3 linked regions of the Caenorhabditis elegans genome follow. The protein of the gene in region 1 purifies or fractionates together with the protein of each later gene. This does not show direct contact. Each region holds a gene or a part of one and is shown on either strand. Other genes may lie near its edges. The genes, in order: ubr-1, tag-276 and pyp-1.

The links.
Region 2: the proteins of ubr-1 (region 1) and tag-276 fractionate together in Caenorhabditis elegans (co-fractionation; one large-scale study listed by BioGRID). This does not show direct contact.
Region 3: the proteins of ubr-1 (region 1) and pyp-1 fractionate together in Caenorhabditis elegans (co-fractionation; one large-scale study listed by BioGRID). This does not show direct contact.

What each region holds. Positions count from the first base shown.
Region 1 is NC_003279.8:3,811,750-3,820,389, forward strand, and holds the start of ubr-1 (E3 ubiquitin-protein ligase ubr-1), read right to left. Parts: upstream 5,061-8,640; 5' UTR 5,048-5,060; coding exon 4,894-5,047; intron 4,840-4,893; coding exon 4,589-4,839; intron 4,383-4,588; coding exon 4,080-4,382; intron 4,023-4,079; coding exon 3,731-4,022; intron 3,672-3,730; coding exon 3,030-3,671; intron 2,673-3,029; coding exon 2,344-2,672; intron 2,295-2,343; coding exon 1,533-2,294; intron 1,193-1,532; coding exon 969-1,192; intron 921-968; coding exon 147-920; intron 90-146; coding exon 1-89. Other genes in the region: npp-11 (Nsp1_C domain-containing protein), read left to right, coding at 6,330-6,441, 6,489-6,581, 6,653-8,132, 8,183-8,640. UniProt on the Caenorhabditis elegans protein: E3 ubiquitin-protein ligase which is a component of the N-end rule pathway. Recognizes and binds to proteins bearing specific N-terminal residues that are destabilizing according to the N-end rule, leading to their ubiquitination and subsequent degradation.
Region 2 is NC_003280.10:12,245,711-12,253,058, forward strand, and holds tag-276 (uncharacterized protein), read right to left. Parts: upstream 3,433-7,348; 5' UTR 3,369-3,432; coding exon 2,973-3,368; intron 2,693-2,972; coding exon 2,612-2,692; 3' UTR 2,415-2,611; downstream 1-2,414. Other genes in the region: Y57A10A.24 (EB domain-containing protein), read left to right, coding at 432-541, 602-716, 1,206-1,550, 1,744-1,825; parn-2 (Target of EGR1 protein 1), read right to left, coding at 6,253-6,456.
Region 3 is NC_003282.8:9,992,518-10,001,628, reverse strand, and holds pyp-1 (Inorganic pyrophosphatase 1), read left to right. Parts: upstream 1-3,665; coding exon 3,666-3,872; intron 3,873-3,918; coding exon 3,919-4,070; intron 4,071-4,837; coding exon 4,838-4,968; intron 4,969-5,015; coding exon 5,016-5,506; intron 5,507-5,558; coding exon 5,559-5,725; intron 5,726-5,769; coding exon 5,770-5,905; 3' UTR 5,906-6,244; downstream 6,245-9,111. Other genes in the region: C47E12.3 (alpha-1,2-Mannosidase), read left to right, coding at 28-164, 208-287, 805-1,257, 1,310-1,584, 1,629-2,054, 2,110-2,322; uba-1 (E1 ubiquitin-activating enzyme), read left to right, coding at 6,706-6,900, 8,280-8,419, 8,467-8,770, 8,818-9,111. UniProt on the Caenorhabditis elegans protein: Catalyzes the hydrolysis of inorganic pyrophosphate (PPi) forming two phosphate ions. Plays a role in intestinal development and subsequent normal secretory, digestive and absorption functions. Required for larval development.

The sequences.
Region 1 (8,640 bases):
GTGCTGTTAGAAGATCACGTGTAGATATTGTCCCACTTGAAGCCGTCATGAGCTCTCCATTTTTGTTCTTATGAGTGAAAAGTTGAGATCTGAAAAAAAAAAGAAATTGTAAAATAACTTTTAAAAAACTCAATTAGCCAGCTTACTGTTGAATAAACGCTGCGCAAACCATTGGTTTTCCCTGTTGCGGTGCAATTATTTCATCCTCTTGACACAGAATACACGTCAATGTTCGGGGTTTCACGAGCTCCGCGTGCCACTTATTTGCACCGATACAAACCGGAAAATCGTGACCAACTTGCTTCACAACATCTTCATCGAAGAAATGCTTATTATCATAGTCGTCCTTCTTCACAACAGTTTCAGATTTTTCAGAAGGTGTCTGTGATTCGTCTTTCTTCTCTTCGTCCTCAATTTTCTTCATAAACTTTGACTGCATATTCGACATTTTTGCCATCGCTTTTTGTCTCATTTCCGCCGCCCTTGCAGCTCGCTTCGCTTTGATTTCTTCTTCGGATTGTGCTGGCTTGTTTTCAGGAGCTGGAGCTGCTTCAGGAACACCTGCTCTAGCTTTAATCAATTTTCTGTATTTCTCGACGGTCACTTCGAGAAGGATCGGACAAATCGATGACTCTGGTTTTCCAACAAGTCCTTCTAAAAGCGACAAAAGACCGATCGATTCCTCTGCACGTTGTGTAAATCCGAAAGATGGATTCTTTTCCTCTTCGTTTAACGCGATTCCGATCAGATATAGTGTTTTGTGGAAGAGACGATCACTTGAGAAACGGCTACGTCGAGCTGTTCTATCGATAATCAGACGAACAACGTGAATAAGAACATTTGTGGTAAGAATTTCGGGAATCCGCTCGAAAAATGTTTGAAAATCCGGAAGAATAGGCGGCGCACAAGCTCGAACCGACCTTAAATGTATTGAATTTTGATAGTAAAATATAAACTCAATAACTCACTTTTCCATTTTCGCACGAACTCTTGCCTGACTCTGTTCAGCAGCTGACTGATCACTTTTTGAATAATGCATGAAGAATGGTGAATAGGTTGGAAGGCTCGACTCTTTGCAATGGAATTGTCCAGCTGTGGTGGCCAGTGGCTTTCGGAAGTCTGCAACCAGATTTACTGCTTCATGAAGAGAAAGACGCTTCGAATTGATATCATGTGACATTTTCTGTTGAATCTGGAAATTTTAGAAGTTAATTTGAATAAAAACCTTCATTTTCTGTTTTATTATACCCAAAATGGCCGATAATACCTTAAAAACGAAACTTAATTTTATTTTAAAAGGCGGTTCAAGAAAATACAATTTCTTCAACTTTTCCTTGCCGCAGCGGTCGAATTTGTATTAGACTATCGTGTTATTTTTTACATTTTTCTTTGTTGATTTAGACACAGGCTACTAGTATTTAAGGAAATTAGGTCATCTTTCGAAATTTTGAACAGCCATAAAAATTATCTGAGAAATTTATTTTCCTTATGAAATTCGGTCTTTCGAGGCTTCGTAGTTAAAAAAGTCTTACATGACTGAACGTATGAGATCCAGTACAAAGAATATGGATAACTTCTCGTTTCATCTGATCCATCGGACGAGTCTTTCCAACTCCGTATGTATACCGTTCACAGAGAATCAGAATCAGACATTGTATGAACTCTTCAGCGATCATCACCAACGTCTTACTCAGATCCTCTGATTCCGGTTTCGCTGGTTTCTCATTCGCCTTGTCTTGTTCAAACTCGGATGTAGCCCATTTAAAGAGACGGAATCGATGAAGAAGGTGGAAAATGAATTTTGTTGACGGTGTGAGTGCAGCTCCTACTTGCATCATCAGAACATCACGATCGAACATCTCATTTCGACAGAGTGGAGAGAAATAATTATGAATCTGGTTTATCAGCGAAAATCCATTTCTTCTCCAAAGTGTCGCGTTGGATTGTGCACACAGGACGAGCACTCGGAGACTCAGTTCGTAGAGATTCGTCTCGTCCTTACAGTTGATAAGTTCTTTGATTCTTTCTTGATTCAAACTCGTATGTGAATTATTACTTCTATTCAACAAAAATCCCGTGTAATTCGAAGCACTAAAGAGACCCGCGATAATTCGAACAACCGGCTGATGGACCGAGGTGGATGATTTAAGCACGTCAAAATGTGATATTCGACATGATTCTCCGTTGATAGTGACCGTCAATTCATAGGTATCCTCCTCGGATTTTGTATAGACAGGTGGCATACGATTCATCAATTCAAGGCACATTATCATTAGACGATTATGAACTTCTTCCTGAAAATCCAATTATTTTGAGATTTTTAATTACTTCAGGAAAACTCACATTAGTTTCTGCCCATCCAATAATCATCGAAATCGCGTCTTTCAATCGTAAAAGGATATTGAACGCTGTTTCCCACTCAGATTCCCACACTTGATGCTCAACGGCTTGTCGTTTCACCTCATCCATTCCTTGCAGATGCTGCAGGAAAAGCAGAAAATCAGCGAATCCTTGAACAAATCCATCGATAAGTTCTCGATTCCAGTCGCTTTCCGATGGCACAGCATTCAGGATATAGGCCATATCTCGAGTGATATGAAGGGATCTTCTTAATTCTGGTGGAAATGAGCGACTTGTGAAATCAAATCTCGCGATTTTTCCGTCATTGTAATCTGAAAATTAGAGAAATTCAAATATTGGTTTGATACAGGGGAGGGCGGCTTTATTTCTATATTTCCGGCAAAACGGAAATTGCCGAAGTTTTCGTTTTTTCGGCAAATTGTGGTTTTGCACATTTCTTTTTTGAAAATTTGAGAATTTCAATTTCAATCGGCAAAATTGTACGCATCGTATAAATGTTCTCACATCTATTTTGAAAAGTAAGCAAATTTTATAAAAATAGCTGAAGAAAATAAGAAAAAATTTCAAAAAAGAATCCCAGTTTTAAGTGTTTCCGTCTAACAACTTCCGGAAACTTGCCAAAAATCAAAATTTCCGCCCACGTCTGGTTTGATATTTTCAAAACTCACACTTCACAAATTTATCAGTCTGATCCCGAATCGCTTTCGATATCACACTGAATGCTTGATCTTCGGCGACAAGTTTCCGAGCCAGACTAGGAACAGTCATGAATTGAACTGATAACCCAACAACTGAAACATCCATCTCATGATCATCTTTAATGAAATCCTCGTAAATTTCATTATAATGTAGCATAAAAGCCTTTGCAAATCGAACTTTCTGATCATAAATCATGAAAACTGTCCGCATGAGCATTTGATGCAAAATCGATCTTCCAGCTTTCCACATTTGTGTATCCTGGAGAAGAATATTCTCTAGCATTGTGAATGTTGAAGAATCTCGTGAAGGACCTGGAGATTCTTGATGTTCTGAAACTCCTGCCAACGCTGCTGTTATCTCTTCTTCATCATCCGCGTCAATTTCCATTTGCAGAGCTTCTCCACCAATATCGTCGTCATCCATTTCATCAACATCCATTCTTCCATCAAGTGCGAATAGTTCTTCCTCTTCATCATCCGGCAAAACCATAACATTTCTGATAATTCCGGCAACTAGACGTTGATCCTCTGACTTCATTTTCCGCGTGTAATTCTTTTTCAGTGCAAACTTTGAACTCAGCAGAATTTCTCCAACAATTTCGCGAAGGGGAGCTGAAAATAAAAACACGATTTCGAATAATGAAAAGAAATAAAAAGAAATAAAAACTAACGAAAAACATCCATCTGTGTGTTGAGCCAAGTAAGAAGGGAGATCGAAAAATTCTGAAGCGCGAAAAGCGTGGTATCCATAACCTTAACACTTAACGGTAGATTATGATTCGATGATCTTCGAATTGACGTTGGATCTCGAGCTGTTTTTCTCTGAACATCATCCTTAGCTTTGGTGCAATCAGCCTTACTGCCAAGTTTCACAGCACTTCGACCTTCTCGATCGACAATTGTGGCTACAAGCATCGCCTGATCCTTTGTACAATGTATGTACAATTCCAGAACTTTGATCACCTGGAAAAAACGGGGAAATTGAAGATTTAATTGAAATTCGGAATATTAATTACTAACAGATTCATAAGTGTGAGTTTCATCATTGTAAAGAACCGTCAAATATTGCTGTGCCTCATTTGTAACCTCTGGCTTCATTTTCTCGAAAATTTCGGGAAGTTTGAGATCATCTTTATGAGTGATCATTGAAAGGGAAAACTGTAAAATGATTTCCACCAGCTGTTCACATCGTTTTTTCAATTCTGGAGCCAACACTGCCGCCTCTTCATCGTCCTTTTTCTCGTGATTTGCACATGCGTAACCTTCTGTCCATGCATCTGCATCACCACAGTCACAATATCCCGAACCGGAGGAAGAGTGCATCTGGAAATTTTTTTTCAATTATAAATTGGATTTACTTAAATATGCGTGTTTTATCATTCATATTCGCTCAAAATAATCAAAAACTTTTCAAGATTTTGTCTATGTTGGTTTAAAATTTCGAGAAAAAGGGCAAGTTTCGGCTAAAATCTGAATGTTTTTTTTCAGAAATTTTCTGTGGAAATTGATTCATTTTGAGGCATCCTCACTTTGTATTTATGAGATTTATGAATTGAAACTTCAAAACACTGAAGACACATGACACATGTCCCATCAGTGGCACAATCCAGACATGTATACGTAAGTTCTCCGTTTTTAAATACATGGCCACAAATTTGTCCCCGTCTTGCAGGATCAACTCCGGCAATGCCATTCATTGCTTCCAGTGTGCTCTTTGTGTTCCGAACGTCTAGTACAAATGCACTGACCAGTGGGGCTAGGAGAATCTCTCCTTGGGAACCTGAAGCAAAATTGGCTTTTTAATATATATGTTTTTTTTTTCAAAAAAACCCACCTAGAATTCGTTCATTCGCGGCTGTATTGTCCCATGGCAAATCCGAATTCACTTCGAACACCTCTGGGACCTGTACAAGCCAGTGCTTGAGCAGCAGCTGGCGTACTTGGGCCCATTCACCCTGTCGAGCTGATTGTATTAAATCGACAATCATTCCATTAGTCGAACTGAAATCGGTAGCTTGATAAAATAGGAGCATTTCATCTAAGAAAAAGAGGATTCGTAAAAGAAAATAAAATATATTGATTATTTTCCGACCCCCCGATTATGCTGCTGATGACCATATCAAAATAAGCGAACGAGAGGACAAAAAGCAGTGATGGGAGGCAAAAATGATGACAGTGGACACTAGGAGAAAGTGAAGGAGATGAGAGAGAACGGGAGGATATAGATTTGCTTCTCTCTCTCTCTGTTTTCGATGCGAGAGTGTTGCCGCAGATAAAGAGCTCTCACGGACTCGGTGCAATGCATCGTGGATTAAATAATTCAACAATGAGGAAATTGAACTATTAAAAATATTGATTATTTTTACGTGTCAGCGAATTCACTGGCGAAGCAATAAAAAAAAACTTTTTTTTAAAATCAGACTTTAGAGCACGTGGACTTTGAATGTTTCACTCATATAACGTCAAAATAATTTAAAACTATATTTTAATAAAAGTTATTTGACTTTAAAAGCAATAAAATATACTTTTTCACCGAAAAAATAACTGATTTCGCGAAAAAAAACAATCTAAAAAAATAAAAATAAAACCCTTGGGAAGTGGATCGTGGCGAGACCCTGAAGGTGAGGCATGCGCCTTTAAGTGTTCGGACTACGGTACACAAATTTCTCTTTTTGTTTTCAATTTCCTAATTTGCGTGGATCGCTGAGAGTTGTTAGATTTTTGAGTTTGTATATAGTTTTCTTTTTTATTTTCATCAAAAATTAAAGTATTTCTTCGTGAAAAGTACTTGGTCAGCAGGAAAAAAAGGTTCTCCCGCGTTTTTACCCCTTTGTGATAGAAAACTTTGCATATTCAGAAGCTTGCTCATCGTTTCGATGATCGAGATCTTTCTTCACATTTCATAACTTTTTTAAAATATCAGTATAAAAAATGGATCAATATTATAAGTTGTAATCGAGAAGTTAGAATAGCAATAGAAACCACAAAGACATTCGGGCCCAAAAATATTTATATTTTCAAACTAACTGCAGCACATGAAATTATCTTCGATTTTTCTCCTTCACGCCGACGTCGCGTGCTCCTCCCAGCCGCCGGCCTAGTCTGCGGTGTTTTTAGGCCATCATTTTCGCGCGACCACCAAATCATTTTTCGAATCTCGACGCGCTCATTTGTGCACTCAAATGACTATTTTCTGCCTCTCTGTCGTTTTCTTTTTGTCAAATAATATTGCTGCCCTTTAAAAATATTAAAAATATCATTCCAGATCAAATGTTTGGAGGATCTGCACCAAAACCGTCGATTTTCGGAGGAACCGCTGCTACCACAACAGCCTCATCTGGATTTTCTTTCGGTAATTCGAGCACATCAACAGCGAACACAGGTATCGATCGATGAAAAATTCAACTAATTTATTTTTTTCGTTTTTAGGCGGAAACACGAATACTACCGGAGGTTTTTCTTTTGGATCCGCACAGCCGAGCACTGGAAGTACTGGACTTTTCGGAAACAGCACAGCTACTGGTAGGTTTTTGGTTTAATAAACTTGTAAAATACGCTCCCGTATTCAAAAAGTATAATTTTAAATTTTTCAGGCTCAATGTTTGGAGGCTCCTCTGCTGCAGCTCCAGCCCCAGCGTCTGCTGGAATCTTTGGAAATTCTGGTGCCGCGGCGCCAGCTCCCGCTTCAACGAGCATTTTTGGAAGTTCTGCAAATTCAGCAGCACCTGCTACAGTAACGTTTGGCGCAAGCGCACCATCAGCTGGTGCTGGCATGTTCGGAGCTAATAAACCAGCTGCTCCAACTGGCGGCTTGTTCGGATCATCCACAAGTACCGCAACAACTGCACCAACTGGCGGGCTTTTCGGTAGCTCAACTGCTGCGCCATCAAGTGGATTATTCGGATCCACGGCCGCTCCAGCAGCACCAGGAGGACTATTTGGAAGCACTTCCACCTCTACAGCGGCTCCATCCGGCGGCTTATTCGGATCTTCAGCTGCTCCAACTTCCACAGCCCCAGCTCCTTCTGGTGGTTTGTTCGGGGCTGCACCAGCTACTAGCAATGCTGCTCCAACCTCTGGATTATTCGGAAATTCAGCACCTGCTGCGACAGCTTCATCTGGTGGACTATTCGGCGCAGCTCCAAAGCCTGCAGCTCCATCGGGAGGTCTTTTTGGTTCTACCGCTCCTGCAACCACCGCTGCAACTACAACTGCCACATCAGGATTGTTCGGAGCACCAACATCTGCTCCTTCGTCCGCTCCAGCCACTGGTGGTCTTTTCGGAGCCTCTACTGCTCCCGCCGCTGCTACTGGAGGTCTTTTCAGCATTGGTGCTGCTTCAGCATCCACTCCATCTGTTGGATTGTTCGGTAATTCTAGTGCTTCTACAACCGCTGCGGCAGCCCCTGCCACCGCCCCAGCGGCAGCTTCAACTGGAGGATTGTTCGGAGCCACCACCGCCGCAGCCGCAGCACCAACCTCATCTACAACTGGGGGATTATTCGGATCTACCGCCGCTGCTCCGGCCGCTTCACTTCCAACCGGAGGTCTCTTCGGATCGTCAACTCCTGCTAAGACCCCAGCCGCACCAACAGCAGGACTCTTTGGAGCATCATCGACAACCACCACATCAGCTCCAGCTACTGGATCTTTGTTCGGAACAGCTCCAGCAACCACAACAGCTACTAGTGCAGCTCCAGCGGCTTCTACTGGAGGATTGTTCGGTGCTTCATCCACAACTACGCCTGCTTCTACAGCTCCGACTGGTGGATTATTCGGAGCAGCAACCACAACTGCTCCCGCCGCAGCAGCTCCGACTGGTGGCCTGTTCGGGGCTGCGACTACAACTGCACCAGCAACTGTAGGTCCGACCGGTGGATTGTTTGGAGCAGCAACTACAACAACACCTGCTACTGCCGCTACATTGGGACAAACTCCATCTACAGTGTCAGCAACTCCATCTCTTCCAACCACAACCAGCACTACTTCCACTCTTCCAAAGCCAGCAGAAGCTACTCCAACTCTTGGACTTGGCCTAGGGCTCACTTCAACACCATTGGCTAAGGGAACTGGGTACATTTTGGTTTACTTTTTAAAAATATAAAAAAAACTCTTAATTTCAGATGGACAACATCAGGACTTAAAGGAGCTGCAACTACATCTGCAGGCCTGAAAATTGGTGCAAGTGGAAGCGACACACTTTCTGAAGAAGAAATCAAAGCAGGACTCGGTGGAAATGATACAAAAGCCTTCTTCACCGCCCTTCAAGAAGTTGTCAATAGTTATCATTCGGAAATTGCGAAGCAGGAACGAGTATTCCATAATAAAATGCTCGAGCTTAATGCTTATGACCGTGAGCTCATTACACTCGAGCCAAAAGTTTTAGGATTGTACAATGAGATGGATGATTTGAGTGGAAGCTGCAAGAAACTGCATTTCAACGTCGCCTCCATGACTTCTGTCTTGAACGATATTGAGCAAAATGTTGTTGAGCTAGAGAACAAGCTGAGCCTTCCAGAATGGCATACTCTTGATTACAAATTCCCACTTGATAGCAGATTTGCGTCGAGACATGATGTTC
Region 2 (7,348 bases), on another chromosome or scaffold:
ATAACACTAAAAACTATTCAAATGCCAGAAAATGGAGCCGTAATGACCAAATATATCTGGAAAATTTTTAAATAAATTTTCTAATTTTTTAAAATGATTTTTCGTCAATTTTTAAAAAATCTAAGAAACGGCCGAATTAAATTTGAATTCCCGCGCAAACCATATATTTCGGCCGTTTTTTAAATTGTTGAATAATTGAAAAATCATTTTAACAAATTCGAAATTTTTTTATTAGGTGCTTCTATTGAATTTTTCTACAGTTACATTCGGTATATTGAAACTATTTTATGTCATTTAGAGCAAAAAAAACTTCCAAAAATTTTATTTCCTCGAGTTTTTTTAAAATTTCAAATGTACTTGATTGTCTAGATTACTGTAGAAATGCTTATGACTCAATTACAAAAAAATCCCAGTATTGATTCTTATTCCAGAACCGGTGAAAAATGTGACCCAGCTTTTCCGGCGTGCTCACAAGGAGCATTTTGTGAGCTGAACAAGGAGAAGACCGCCCATATTTGCTGTAAGCGGTATAAAAATCGACGTGAGTATTTTATTGCTTAAACCTATAAAAACTAAAATTCAAGAAAAAAAAAAATTTCAGTCGGCAACAGCCGTAAAACCCTTCTACCCCCTCCATTCTACTACACTACAACTACTATGAAGGCTCCCATAACCATAGCCACAACTACTGCAGAACCATACCCTTTTGAATCTGTGTAGGTTGCTTAATTAAAGGCAAAGTAGCGCCAGAGGGGAAAGTGTTTAAAACTACTCCATTGGTGTCAAAATGATCGAATATCATTTTAAAAAATTTCAAAAAATTTTTGAAATTTTTTTATTTATTATCAAAAAGTGACAATTACTCAGTTTTTGCCACTCATAATTTTGGAAGTCAACCAAAAAAAAATTTTTTTCTACATTTTTTATACTGTAATTTTTTTTTAATTATTTGTATTAAAAAATTGTAGGGGTTGGAACATGCGAAATTGCTTTGGATTTCCTCAAAGGCTCATATTTTTCAAAATGTTTGCAATTTTCCAAAACTGACCGGGAATAATGAAAAATCTAAAAATTTTTGGACTGTTTGTTAATGATATTTGGTCATTTGAAATAATTTTAAGTGTATTTAGACACAATCCCCACTGGCGTTACTTTACTTTTAAACCATCAAAGGTATCTTAATCATATCTTAATATTTATTACAGTCCAAACTGCCAAGACCCTGAAGCCCGTCCACTCATGGAAAACGGCTTCCCATACATTTGTGATCATATCGGAGATCCGTGTATTCTTCGATCAGGATATTCGTGTCAAGAATCTGATATTGATGATGTCTATGTGTGTTGTACTATTCAAATGAACCGAATCCTTCCACCACAGATTCCAATGATTGGGCCATTTACGTTTATGACGTCATCAACTACTACAACTACTGAGAAGCCGATTGAAGAGGAAGAAGTGATTGCGCAGCCGACATGCCCATTTTCATATATGCCGTCGAAAAATGTTAATCAAGATGTGCAGCGTTGTCTATCACTGTTTACGTTGGAGTGAGTTCCAGAAAAATAAAAAATAAAAAATTTTTTTCGATTGTTTTTTGAAACTCTAAAAATCAGTATTATCTTATTATCTTTATCCAATTTTTTAAAATTTTTTTTTAAATCGGAATTAAAAAAATTCTAACATACATATATTGTTGAAAACGTTTAACGTTCAAAAATCGATATTTTAAAATAATTCCAGCTGCCCACTCGGCTACACGTGTCTACCATCTTCCACTACCGACAGTTATCTATGTTGTATTCGGAAGCCTGTGGTCTATTAGGCTTAATTATTGATTTTTGTTTTTTTTTTCGAATATTTGTGCCAATTCTATATTTTTTAAATATTTTTTTAGCTAATGAACATGTTTTCAAACAGTTTAATTTAAAAACAGCCTAATACAAAAACTTGGAAAACTAAGCCTAAGCCTAAGCCTAACCCTAAGCCTAAGCCTACACCTAAGACTACACCTAAGCCTAAGCCTAAGCCTATGCCCAAGTCTAAGACTAAGCCTAAGCCTAAGCCTAGGCCTAGGATAATGAGAGCATTTTCAGACTGCTCTATAAAGCCAAACAAAGATTTTGCAATAATTCATAACGCATTCGATTCACAATAACAAGTTCTTTAATAAAACTATAAAAATGTAAAAAGTTAGGAGTCAAATTTTTATTTATTTAACACTGAAAAATTGGAGTGTGTAGATAATGAGAGCATTTTCAGACTATGTTTTTTCAGAGCTGACGCCAAGCTTATGCCTAAGCCCAAGCCTACGCCTAAGCAAAAGCCATAATTCTGAAAATCTAAATTCAAATGTTAGCATCCAAGTCTGGGCTCAACGGTCCAAGCCTGAAAGCTTAAAAACCTAAAGCCTGAATATTTTTGCAAACATAAGTAAACTGAATTGAAGTTTTATCTGTGATGTACAGTTTTAATTGACAAGAAACATTGCAATCGGGATTAGTTTTTTTGAAAAACTGGATAATAAAAATGAGGGAAAATTAGTTGAAAACACAAGAAAATAATGACAGATTATGAAAAATTGGCAACGAATATAATAAGTTTGGTAAAATTATACGACTGGGGAGGAAGAAGCCGACGATTCTTCGGATGAAGAGGAGCTTGATGGTGACGTGGATGATTGTTTTGTAGTCTGGAAAGTATTAGTTTAGGTGGTTTGGTCAGGTTTAGAAATTTTTTTTTAAATTTAATTTGGTGCGAAATTTTATTTTTATTTTTCAGGCCAAATTTACGGCGCAAAATCGGTGTAGATTTTTTATTTTGAAATTTTTTTAAATTGCAATTTAACTTAATATGTAGGTATTTTAAGTACAAAAATAATCGAAAATTATTTTATTATTTTAAAAATTGAGTTCGTTTTCAGAAAATTAAAAAGTTCTCAGCAAAATTTTAAAATAACAACAAAAACTAACCTTGGAGAAATTTTCCGCTTCCTTTTGCAAATCCGCAAAAATATTGAGCACATTGGCGAAGAGCACCTTGTTCTTCGAAGCCTCCCGCATCTTTTGCTCCACAACATCCTGCTCCAACTCCTGAGCAGCGAGACGACGAAGCTTCTGGAGCAACAAGTTGACTGGGTACTGGTACTCATACCGTCCATCATACTGGCTCTTGACAATTTGCTCGGTACGGCATTCCCGGAATACTCGAATCGGGCAGTCGAGGAAGAGAAGACACTCCAGTGCATAGTACCGGTTGTGCTCTTTGAGCAAGTAGTCAGTGTATTTTCTGACTTGTTGAGCAGGGCTCAGTGGAGCTGGGACTCTTGGGAGAGCAGCATTGGAGACCGGCTTGGTGTGAGATGGCATTTAGAATGAGTTAAATAAAAGGTGAGAGAAGAACTGAGATATGTGGTTAAGAATGACACTAACCTAGACCTAACCCTGTAGGACGCTGCAATTTGGCAACAACAAAAAATCGATATATGGGCGGGGGGGAATGGGCTATGCAACGTGGCAATGGGAAAGCAGAAGGAAACAATGGTTATTGATTGGTTTACGATTGTGAATATATAAATTTGGTACATACGTACATTTTTGTTTGAGAAATAAGGGAGGGTTCTCCCTGAGGAACATGGAAAAAAGTTGTCAAAATTTAGGGGATTTCAGATTTTAGTTTTTAAAAATATTGGAATTTTCAGAAATTTTAATTGGATACTTTAATTCTAACGGAATGTTTAAAGAAGGAGTATTTAGAAAATTTGGAATTTGCATAAATTATTAGGTTGGTCAAAATGTCTTTGCAACTTTTTGAATTTTTTTTGGAGAGAGTATTTATTCAAAGCGAACGAGATTCAATGGGTAATATATTCACCATTAGTGTATATGACTTCTTGCCAACCCAACGAAGGTTGAGCAATACCCTCCGCACAGAACTCCTGAGATTAGGAGGCAAAGAAGTCGTCCCACCACGTTTCGACGATCTTTCAATCATGAAACTTCTGCCCGGTAAGGTGATTCTGGAGAGAGCGGAACAAATGGTAGTCAGTAGGAGTCAAGTCCGGCGAATGCGGTGGGTGAGACAAAACTTGGATTCCGAGTGTCTGGAGCTTCTGGCGGGTCCTCAAAGTTGTATGCGGTCTTGCGTTGTCATAGAGCAGCCTAAATTTTGATTCTCTAGGGTGATGTAATCGATGAGCACGGACCATCTTTTCCAATTGAATAGAGTATAGGCCAGCGTTGATTGTAACGGAGTCTGGAAAAAGTCCTCGGAAAATTACACCCTTACTGTCCCACCAAATTTAGAGAAGCACTTTTTCTCTTGAAGTTCCCCTTTGAGGTCAGGTTTCACGGTTTCCTCGACCGGGACCCACTGTTTCTTTCTGGTATAGTTAACATGCAATACCCATTTCTCATCTCCAGTAGTGATATCCTATACCCAGTCTGTTGTTCGTTTCCTAGTGAGCAGCGAAAAAGAGAGGTCACAAAACAATTTTTCTGAGAATCGGACAAATTGTGAGGAACGAGATGACCGAACTTTTCTACCCTTCCGGTTTCGCGGAGATGGTTGATGATGGTTCTTTGGAGATGCTTGAGAGTCGCAGAAAGTTCACGGTTCGTTGCTCTTGGATCATCTTCCAGGGCTCTCGAATTATCCTTATTGATAGCCAAACGAGACCGACCGGATCTTGGTTCATCATCGAGATCGTAGTTCTTTTTCGTGAACTTTTCGAACCAAAACTTTATGGTATTATAGGTGACAGAATTATTGCCTAACACTGCACACATGTTACCACGAGCTTCGTTGCAATTGCAGCCTTGGGGGAACCCATACAGAAAACCCCTCGGAGGGTGTGACCTTCGGCGAGCAAATTCTCGGTCATTTTGAACAACACCCAAAAGTTTTTTCAAATGTATTAAACATGCACATTACGTACTATGCAAATAAAAAAACAGAATAGGAAAATAACGAGTTAACGCTGAGAAATGAAGAAACATACGAATTTTGCAAAGACTTTTTGACCAACCTAATATTACATTTTACTTTTTTTTGTACTTTTTCAAAATTTCTGCAATTATGGGTTTTCAGGTATTTTTTTTGGAATCTTCCGAAATTGTTTCAGCATTTTAAAGAAGTTTTTTGGAACTTTCAGAAATTTTATACATTTTCTGATTTTTCTAAAGGCTTTTCGAATTTGGTTCTTTGGGAATTGTCCGTTTTTGTAGCTTTTGGTGTTTTCTGAAAATTTTTATTTTTATGGGTTTTTACACGTGGTGTCGGTTTGATCTATGTAGATCTACAAAATGCGCGGGAGTTGAGACGCAGAGTTTTCAATCTGATTTCGCATGGTTAAGAACGTGCTGACGTCACATTTTTCTGGGTAAAAAAATCCCGCATTTTTCGTAGATCAAACCGTAATGGGACAGCCTCACTCCACCTTTTTTCAGAGAATTTATATTATTTCAAATGTGTTTTTGGAACTTTTCGGATTTTAAAAATCCCGAAAAAAAGTTACATTTTATTTTTTTTCTTTGATAGCAATTGTATTTATTTCTGAAGAAAAACTGCGCATACATAGGAAAAATAAGAAATTTTCAGCGAATTTCAAATTTTTATATTTATCAGAAATTATCACATTCTTCTACATTTTTTTTTGGAATTTTTAGAAATTGAGATTTTAAAGCTAAATTTCAGGCGATTTCGGAATTTTTTAAAAATTTGAGCTATCTAATTTTTCAATAGTTTTAAAATTTTTTTCAGAAATTTCAAAATTTCAGAATTTTGAGAAACGTTAACTAGTTATTTTAATCCTAACAGAAATTTCCAAAATTAATTCGAAAATTTTGGAATTTTCATAAATTCTTATATTTTGGCATTTTTTAGAGTTTTTGGACTTTTTCGAAATTAAAAATTGAAAAAAAACTGTCAGATTTTTCAAAATTTCCGAAATTTTTGAATTTTCAAAAAACGGCGAATATCCAGGGCGAATTTGTCGGTTAAAATATACAAAGAACTCAAAATAAGTCTATTTTTCAGAAAAAAATAGGTTGGAAACAACAACAAAAATTTAAAAAAATGGATTGAAATCGAAACAATGTGAATTTAACAATCAAGATCAGGTGGGGGAACATCAATAACCGAGAAAAAGTGGAAATTTTCAAATTTCCAAAAAATTGTATTTAGATGGGGATTTAACGTACCAGAAATAACAACAACAACAACAAAAAAAATCAAAATTCAAAAATAAATTATTCAATCTTCACAAGGTGTATCCTCTTTCTGAACACTTTTGATAACTGTAGCGGCTGCATTCATTCGAATATAGTCCCGTTGCTTGTTGATCTCCACCATTGCCTCCAAATGAGCATCAATTTGCTCGGATTGTGGAACTGGGACCGGTCGGTGGCGAAGATGCAATGGCTTATCTTTGGCGGACAGTGGAACGCGGTTTAGGAACTGAAAATTGAAAGAATTCGATTTTTAAATTTTTTTTTGTAAATATTATAATTTTCAAGATTTTTTAAAATTAAAAATCATGTCTCATAAATATTTCCGACTCTCCATAAATTTTCAACATTTATAATATTATCCGAAAATTTTTAAGATTTAAGAATCATCAAAAATTTAATAATATTTAAAAGGGATTTTTTTTAATTTCAGAAATTTTTTTGGAATTTTCAGAGAATTTCTAACATTTTTTGGAATATCCGAAGAATTTCAGACGATCTAAAAATTTTTTAGAAACAACTAAATTTTGAGAAAAATGTTTGAAAGGGATTTTTTTAAATCTCAGAATTATTTAAAATTTTCTGAAATTTTCTGTAAATTTTTGGGATTTTCTGAAAACTTTGGAATTTCCGAAAAATATCAGACTTTCTATAAATTTTAAGAAATTATTAATTTAAAAAAGTGTTTGAAAGGGATTTTTCAAAATTTAGAATTATTTCAAATTTTCTGAAATTTTTTTTGAATTTTTAGAGAATTTCAAAAATTGTCTTTTTTTTAATTTTGTGAAATTATTGGAAGCCTCAAAAATGTATAATATTTAAAAGGAATTTTTCAAAATTTAGAAATATTTAAAATTTTCTGAAATTTTTTAGGAATTTTAAGGGAATTTCAGATATTAATTTTTTTAAAATTTTTAGGAATAATCAAAAATTTATAATATTTTTTAATTCCGAATTATTTCAAATTTTCAGAAATTGAGATTTTTAAGAAATGAACATTTCAGGCGATTTCGGGGAAAATCTTTAAATTTTTTTAAAAAGTTAAGCAAATCCAGTACTAAAAAAATTCAGAATCGCTGAATTTATTCGAATTTTACGGCGACTAATTTCCTATAAATTTT
Region 3 (9,111 bases), on another chromosome or scaffold:
ATTTGTAACTAAAACTATAACTGACAGGTGGATTTGCAATATGGATTGGCAAAAACACGCGAAATGTTTCAATTTGGATGGGATAACTACATGGAACATGCATTTCCAGCAGATGAATTAGATCCAATTCATTGTAGAGGCCGTGGACACGATCATGATAATCCGTAAGTGAGCAGGAAAAGAGAGAGGTTTCAATAACAGATTCAGAGATAATATTAATGTTAACGATGTGCTTGGAGATTACTCGTTGGGATTAATTGACACTTTGGATTCGCTTGTGGTTTTTGGTAAGTTTGTTAATTTTTTTCAAAAGTTATTATTAATTGTCAAAATTAAAAAATGGAGTATCGTCAGTGGAAATTTAGTCTAAAAATACTCATGATAGCCCAACATGTCTGATTATAACAAACCCAAAATGTTTAGATTTTTTCGAAAATTTAATTCAAAGTTTTGGTAATTGTCAAATGTTCCAAAACGTTGAAAATTTTTGCATTGTGCAGATTCAAGCCCCTGGAATCTTTAAATACTTTTTTTTGTTTTTTTTTTTTTGGTTCGCCACTTTTTGATCATAAATTTAAAACTGCAGTAGGGAAAAACCGCTTGTTCGAAAATATCCAACTATCATATTAAAACTAATTTTTTTCTGAATTTTTTAAATTTATGATCAAAAAGTGGCGAACCAAAAAAAAACCAAAAAAAAGTATTTAAAGATTCTAGGGGCTTGAATCTGCACAATGCAAAAATAGCTACTGACGATACTCCAACATTAGAAAAAACATATATTTTGAATCTGTAAATTTTCAGGAGACGCAGACGAATTCAAACGAGCTGTTAATCTTGTAATTAAAACAGTATCGTTTGAAAAGAATACAACAGTTCAAGTATTCGAATCAACTATTCGAGTGATGGGTGGTCTTCTGGCTGCTCATATGATTGCTGCCGATAAAACTAATCGATTTGGTCCTTTCTATATGTCAGACTACGGTGGAGAACTTTTAACACTTGCCCATGATTTAGCTGGGCGACTTTTACCAGCGTTCGATGGAACGGCCACCGGAATTCCTTACACCCGTATAAACTTGCAAAAGGGAATTCTTCCGGGAACGACAAACTCTACATGTACATCAGGCGCGGGGAGTCTATTGCTTGAATTTGGTGTATTGTCAAAGCTGCTTGGAGATGACACCTATGAACGACTTGCTCGACGAGTTAATGAAAAGTTGTGGAATTTAAGAAATGAGGTCACTGGATTGCATGGTATTGAGAAAATTAAAAATTGTGTTGCAAAACTTTATACATCTAATTTCAGGAAACTTAATTGACATTCAAACTGGAGAATGGCTTGGTCACTTAGCAGGCCTCGGTGCTGGAATTGATTCATTCTATGAATATATGCTAAAGTCGTACATCCTTTTTGGTAATCAACGAGATTTAGATATGTATAATGAATCATTTGCTCGTATCACAACATACATGCGTCGAGGTCGTTCTAGGTGTTCCAGTCTTGAAGGTGATATTCCAATTTATGTAAATGTTGATTCAAGAGATGGAAGCACTTCAAATACATGGATCGATTCTCTTCAGGTGACAGTTACATATTGTTGTTTCTAGTAAACTTTCAATTTCAGGCAAGTTTCGCAGGAGTTCTGGTTTTGGCTGGTGAAGTCGACGAGGCTGTGTGCCATCATGCCCTTTACTATGCAATTTGGAAGAAATACGGAGTTCTACCCGAACGATTCAATTGGCAGTTACAAGCTCCTGATGTCTCATTTTATCCACTTCGTCCAGAATTTGTTGAATCTACATATCTATTGTACACTGCTACGAAAAATCCATTTTATCAGCATGTTGGACTGGAAATTCTTGATTCATTAGAAACAATTACTCGAGTAAAATGTGGCTTCGCAACTGTGCATGATGTCATTGATGGAAGTCTTGAAGATCGAATGGAATCGTTTTTCTTATCAGAAACATTAAAGTATTTATACTTGTTGTTCGATGTAGATCATCCAATTAACAAGGAACAGCAAGAAAGTGTTCTTTTTTCAACAGAGGTATGAATATTGCTGATCTAGGAATTCTTACTTACAATTAGAAAAGTAATTTCAGGGTCACATATTTCCAATATCCCCGCTGTTCAATCTGCCTCCTACTCCGCCATCTCAATATGATCCACCTCTCAAACCATTGCCACGTACCAACTCATCATTTTGCGAAACTGCCACAGACTTCACTTTTGGAACCCCACCACTTCGTCATTCTCAAATGCGTGAATTGTTCAAAGTTATTGGAGTTGATTCGGTTCTTCACGATTGGTTATAATTTATTTGTACTATTGCATATCTGATTTCTTGTTGCCTTATATTTTATGTGGTTTTAGTTCTGTGATAGCAATATTTTTTTTCCGGTTAGCATTAAAATATATGAATTTCAATGATCTAGAAATAAATCAAAAGAAGATAGAATAATGAAATCATATGTTTACATTCTACTAAAATCAATAAGAGTTTAAGTTTTACCAACAATTATGACACATCGTTTGTGATTTGTAATCAGTGTAATACAATGGCGAATGGAGAAACCGAGAGGTATTGATAAGAGAAGACTGCTCACAGAGCAAAAACAAGTCCAAGCGGTTTTCAATATTAGATTCTCCTCCCAGAAGTGTTCTTTGATTGATCTTTCAGTGATGGTCGTTTCTTGATGGGCCTCGTGTTGATCGCCAAACGAAACAAGCCGCTGATCGCGATGATGGCTGCTATACTTTTCACAGTCGCTGTATTTTTGGCTACGAGGTTTGTTGCATTCGACTGTTCCTATTTGGTGGTTTTCAAATGCAAATTAATATTTAGCATATTTTCTCAACTGTCTGGGATTTTTATTTTATTTTTATGCGTTCAGACTTAAATATTTCACTGTTACCGTAGCTGAGGGTTGCGTCTGCATTTTCATGTAGTTTGTGGTGTGATGTGTGTGTACACTGCTATATTTTCGTAGGCCTATTTTTTACAAATTGCTGCGCTGGCAATGCTATTCTTGTTTTGTTTTTATCTTAATCAAATTTTTAGTTATTTTTTATACATATTAATTCTCAAAAATGTATTCAGTATTTGTAAAATTATCTGCTAAGAGTGATTAAATACATTGATCAATACTGAGTGGAGTTATTTATTAGGAACATCAACGATTAATTTTATTTTTTCTGCGTTTTTCAAGCTACATATTATTGCGATAAGGAAATTGAAAATGCATGTCTTCCATAACTTTTATCCGTGCCATTGAACAAGAAGCCATTTATCACCAAACATGCGAAGAGCCTTTTAGACAAGAAAATTAGCTTGTGCAAATTTATTTTAAACCTCTATTGAGTTGATGTTATCTATATTGAGATGTTCAAAAATTTCATGACTGAAATTAGGATTTCTTTTGGGCCCAGGTGAGAGTTTTTTATGCTGATTGTTTTGAGCCACAGGGTTTAGATAATCGTTGAATGATATTATCCTGCCTTATGTTTCAATTTTCAATTTAATCTTGCTTCTATCATGACGACATAACCAAATCCACACATATCACCAACTGCTTGAAAATGTGCATGCGCCACAGCGTCTCTCGTGTTTTCCGCATATATCTCACAAATGTCTGTAGTTGTCCTCATCTCTTCCTAGATGATACTGAGCTGTCGAAGTGTGGCCACGGCGAGAGGATTTTTGTTATCAACTCGTCTTATTATGGGCTGTGCCGTGAGCCAAGAAAGCGCCATCGCCACTGTCTCGTCATCTTCAAACACTGCAACAACATCCACCAGCAGTTCAAATACTTCACAGAAATGGGCCACTTCAAGGACATCGCGTCCAGTTACAAACGTCACACAGGCAAGACTGATGAGTATTGTTCTAGTTTTATTTTGGTTATGTGTAGGTTTCTGCGATTCACACCACTTCAATGGATTCCGGCAGCTCAACTGTCCAATTACCTTCTCCTCGTGGCAGTCTTACCACAGCCGTCTCCACCTCTTCTTCGGGAGCTCAACGACAAATGTCAGCCAATTCGGAGAGGAGTCTGCACACGAGGTTGCGTGTTGATGTTTCTTCCTTCTTGTGTCTGTGTCGTTTTTAAGGGAGGATAACGTTTTATATAATCCTTATTGATGTTTTCTATCACTTTCTAATAACTCACATCCATTGGTAGAGCGGAAAAGAAAAGAAAACAATTATTTAATCTAAATCTGGGTCATGCTCGAATCGCTGCTAGATCTTATATTGAGAAAAAACGTAGTTTAAAAATATTTAACCCTTCTCCAAAACTTCAGTTTGTCCAGCAGCCCCTTGTAGATGAAGTGTAGGCGTACTAAACTTTACCCCGTCACCTCACATTGCAAACGGGCGGTGTCAGCTGATAAGACTAGTCCGTCACCAAATGCTCAAAGAATAAAGAAATGTTGCCTATAATTATGTAACATACTTTTCAAAGATGCCAGTACACATGCTTATAAAATGACACTTTGTGTTTGGAAATTTATTTTCAAGTTGCTTTATTGTCTTTATTTGAATTCGCATTTTAAATTCTGGCGTATTTTTTTTTTAAACTTTTAACGTGAAAACTTTTGCAAATCCACGTTTTAATAGTTTCGAGTGGCAAAATGTTTAAAGATTAGTTTAACAAAAACCTTGTGAAAAATGTTCTCTTGGCTCTTTTGCGGTCGTTGTTTCCGAAACCCAAACAAGTTTGTTATACTTATAATTGGCTGTTATGAGTGTAGAAGTGTTTTCATGATAGCATCTAATTCCACTCGCAAACACATGTAGTTTTCAATATTCGCATTATTATTATTTTTCAGGCCCTTGTCGGAGACTGCTGTCATTTTGCAAAGTCAAGCTGTGAAAATGAGCACCGGAGCCGGAGATTCAGCAGTTTACGAAGCCGTCGAGCGTGGATCTCTTTATAGTTTGGATTATAGAGTTTATATCAGTGAGTCGAAGCTGCTATAATTATTGGTTCTAATATCTATTTTGCAGAGGGACCACAAGGAATCGTATCTCCTTGGCACGATATTCCATTGTTCGCCAACAAGGACAAGAGAGTTTACAACATGATTGTTGAGATTCCACGTTGGACAAATGCTAAAATGGAAATGGCCACCAAGGAACCATTCTCGCCAATCAAGCAAGATGAGAAGAAGGGTGTAGCTCGCTTTGTTCACAACATTTTCCCACACAAAGGATACATCTGGAACTACGGAGCTCTTCCACAGACATGGGAAGATCCAAACCATGTTGTTCCTGACACTGGAGCTAAAGGAGACAATGATCCAATTGATGTTATTGAAGTTGGATCAAAGGTTGCCGGACGGGGAGCTGTTCTGCAAGTAAAAGTTCTCGGAACATTGGCTCTCATTGACGAAGGAGAGACCGATTGGAAATTGGTCGCAATTGATGTCAACGATGAGAATGCTGACAAGTTGAATGACATTGATGACGTCGAAAAGGTTTATCCTGGACTATTGGCTGTAAGTTTCGATTAAACATTTTTCAAAATACGTTTCATTTTTTTTCTTTCAGGCATCTGTTGAATGGTTCCGCAATTACAAGATTCCAGCAGGAAAACCAGCCAACGAGTTCGCTTTTAATGGAGAGTTCAAGAACCGAGAATACGCGGAGAAAGTCATCGATGAGACCAACGAATATTGGAAGACTCTCATCAAGGAAGCAAACCCATCCTTGAACACGTAGGGATTTCATCGCTTTTAATATTCTAAACTTCAAATTTCAGAGTCTCTCGGGTTCCAGAAGCTGTTCACCAAGGAACTGATGAAGCGGCCGCAACTGCCATTGGCGCTACCCCAGAACATGGAGCAAATGCTCCACTACCAGGAGATGTTGATAAGTGGCATTTTGTGCAAGGATGACTAGTACGCCCTGGAAGCCGTGAAGCATCTTCAAAACTTTAAATTTATTGCACTGTCGCTCCCTGAAATTATACTGACTCCCTCATTCTCTTGTTTTGTTCCAACGTATTTGATTATTTGATTCCTTTAATTTTATATTGTTTTTTTCATTATTCGAAAAACTTTTAAAAATTGAATTGGGGATCTTCTCTGTTTATGTATGTGATGTTTTCTTTTTGGTTTACCACCATACGTGAATTATTTGTCAAATCCAAACAGATCTTTTAAATTCAAAGTTCCTTTGGAAAAAGCAGTGAGCAGAGTCAGCACGAACTCGATAAACAGAAGAAACAATTTAAATTTTGAAAATGCTGATTTCAAACATATACGAACGAACTTTTAAAAATACATTAGAAATATCGAGAAATTTCTTTCGCAAAAAAGGAACACAAACACTACGAGACGACGATAGCGATGTTTTTATGTCAAAGAAGAAAAATGCAAAAGCGCTCTATTTTACTGCTAATATTTCTATGAGAAACTTGGCGCCATTTTCCACTTATGTTCCTTTTTCTTCATTTCGCAAGCGCGCCACTTTTTTCAAATGAAAATCAATAATTTCATCCTTCTAGAATCTTCCACAAACAGTTTGTTTCGCATTTTTTCGAAACGTGCAGTGGTTAAAAATCATTCGCTTTTCAATCTCAATTCTCGCCGAAAGCTCATCATCAGATTCTTCTCTTTTAAGCCACCATTATTCGAACTGCATCAGTTTTCATCAATTAAAAACTATTTTCAGTGGTTCTGATCTTTCGTGATTAATGACTACCATCCTTGAGCTAACATCGGCCAACAAAACTAACAACAAGGCCACCAATAACAAGCTGCAGCGTGAAGGAGAAAACGAATATCCTCCGGCGAAACGATCCAAGACTGACGACGAAGAAGAACCAACAGTCGTAGGAAACGGAACGATCGTCGGAGCGCCAAAGCAGCAAACACTTTCTGGGGTCAATGTAAGTTGAAATGGAAAACTATTTTTAAAAAATCTGAATTAACAATTTTTAATTCATAAGAAGCTTGAAAAGAAAGCTCTCAGAGATTCAATTAATTTAAGAATCCTCGTTTCTTTCCGTTGTTTTGCTATTTCAACAAAAAGATAATGAGTGTTCGCCGAATTTCACTCTGATTTTTTAGTCGAAACAGCAGGTGAAAACCCCATTCAAAATGAGAACTGATTTTTCTACCAAATCACAAGAATAAACGCATTCTCCGTTCGCTTTCTTTTATATTTAATCTTCGTTCGCCCAGAAAATTAGAGGGAAAGTTGCCGTGGCAACCACGCAGAAGCTGGCGCTGATACACTGCTTCGTAGCCGACAATGAATAATAATAGTTGGGATTTTGTTGACGGATAGAAAATACATATCCTTAATGCTTACTCGTATATTCTCTATTTTAATTTAGTCCTTGTTTCATTATGTATATGGAATATATCAGGAAGTATGATCCGGGTTGGCATATGCCCAAAAAGGTAAGTTTTAAGAATATTCTGGAATTGTTTGAAATTGATGTTTTAGGCGTCTACTTTTGTAATCAGGTAAAATATTTTAGAGAATGAGGTTATAAATTGATGACTTTTTCATTAGATGAACTGAGGTGGTAAAATTGTCCCGATACATAATAACAATTTACGTTTTAGTTTCGGCCAGTGAAACCCTGAAAAGTGTATTTTCATTCGTAGTTCTATTTATTTGTTGTCAATCCCATGTTTTCTCTATTTCTCTGCGTCTCTGTTAGTCATCATATTTCCGTTCCCGCTCTTGCTCACTTTTTGTTGTGAAAATTGAATGGTTAGTCGACTTTCTGTATTCAACGCAGTTTTTTTCCTAAGCGTTATCAGTTTCGTAGAGTTTTCCAACTTCACAAGTTATTAGGCCAACGATTGCAATCAATAATGTTCTAGAATGTGATTCGCGCTTTGTTGATCGATGTGTTCGTTTATAGAAAGTTCGGACGAATCTTTTTTCTTCGTCTTCCTAGTTAGGTTCGGATTACGAAAGGACACTAACGGGCGGTTTGACAGTCAAGTTGTTTCTTTGCCTGCGTCTCTCTCTTTATTCTTCCTCGCTCTTTTCAATTTCGCAACGAAGTCATTCAGTTTTTGTAGTTTCTCTTGTAATTTCCCTGTGTTCCACTATGACTTATTTTGTACTGTCGCGCATTAGAAACAAATTATAACTACACTAATGACTCTTTTTTCTACTCCAGTTTTATGAAAACTTGAAAAGTATTTGCCATAAAACTCGATTTTCATGACAATTCAAAATATATAAAATTTCGCTCTAAGATATATTAACATGTCAATTATATCATGTAATGATCTGATTTTTCAGCAGTCTGGAAACGTGAACGTCGAGACGACCAAAAACACTGAAGGACAAGACGGTGAGAAGATGGACACTAGCAATAATGCCGGAGGAGTTGGTGGGAACTCAGATGAGCTTCTCGACAAAAATCTTTACTCCCGTCAAATGTTAGTTTGATTTTTCTATTGTTCTAAAACAAAATTGAATATTTCAGTTACACGCTCGGCGAATCCGCCATGGTCAACCTCCGAACTGCTTCCGTTCTCATTTCTGGTCTCGGTTCTGTAGGAGTCGAAATTGCAAAGAATCTGATTCTTGGAGGAGTTCGGCATGTTACTATTCATGACACAAAGCTTGCAAAATGGTCTGATCTCTCGGCTCAATACTACTTGCGCGATGCAGATGTTGGTCACAATCGTGCTACTTCTTGCTACGAGCGTCTTGCAGAGCTTAATGACAGTGTTAATGTACAAGTATCAACTGATGAGCTCACTGAGGAGTTTGTCAAAACATTTGATGTAAGTTTAAATTAATTTTGTGTTAAAAAACATTTTTTAACTTATAGCTTGTTGTTCTCACGGACGCTGCCCGTACTGCTCAACGCCAAATCGCTGCATGGACACGAGCCCACAATAGACGTATTCTGATTACTGATGCTCGTGGTGTATTCTCATACATCTTCAACGATTTTGGAGACAATTTCCGAATTGATGACGCTACTGGGGAGCAAGTTCGCGAGTTCTTCATTGAGCACATTGATAAAACCACTGGTGAAGTGACAACATTGGAGAATCTTTTCCATGGTCTTGAGGATGGAGATCACGTTACTTTTTCTGAAGTTAAAGGACTTACTGAAATT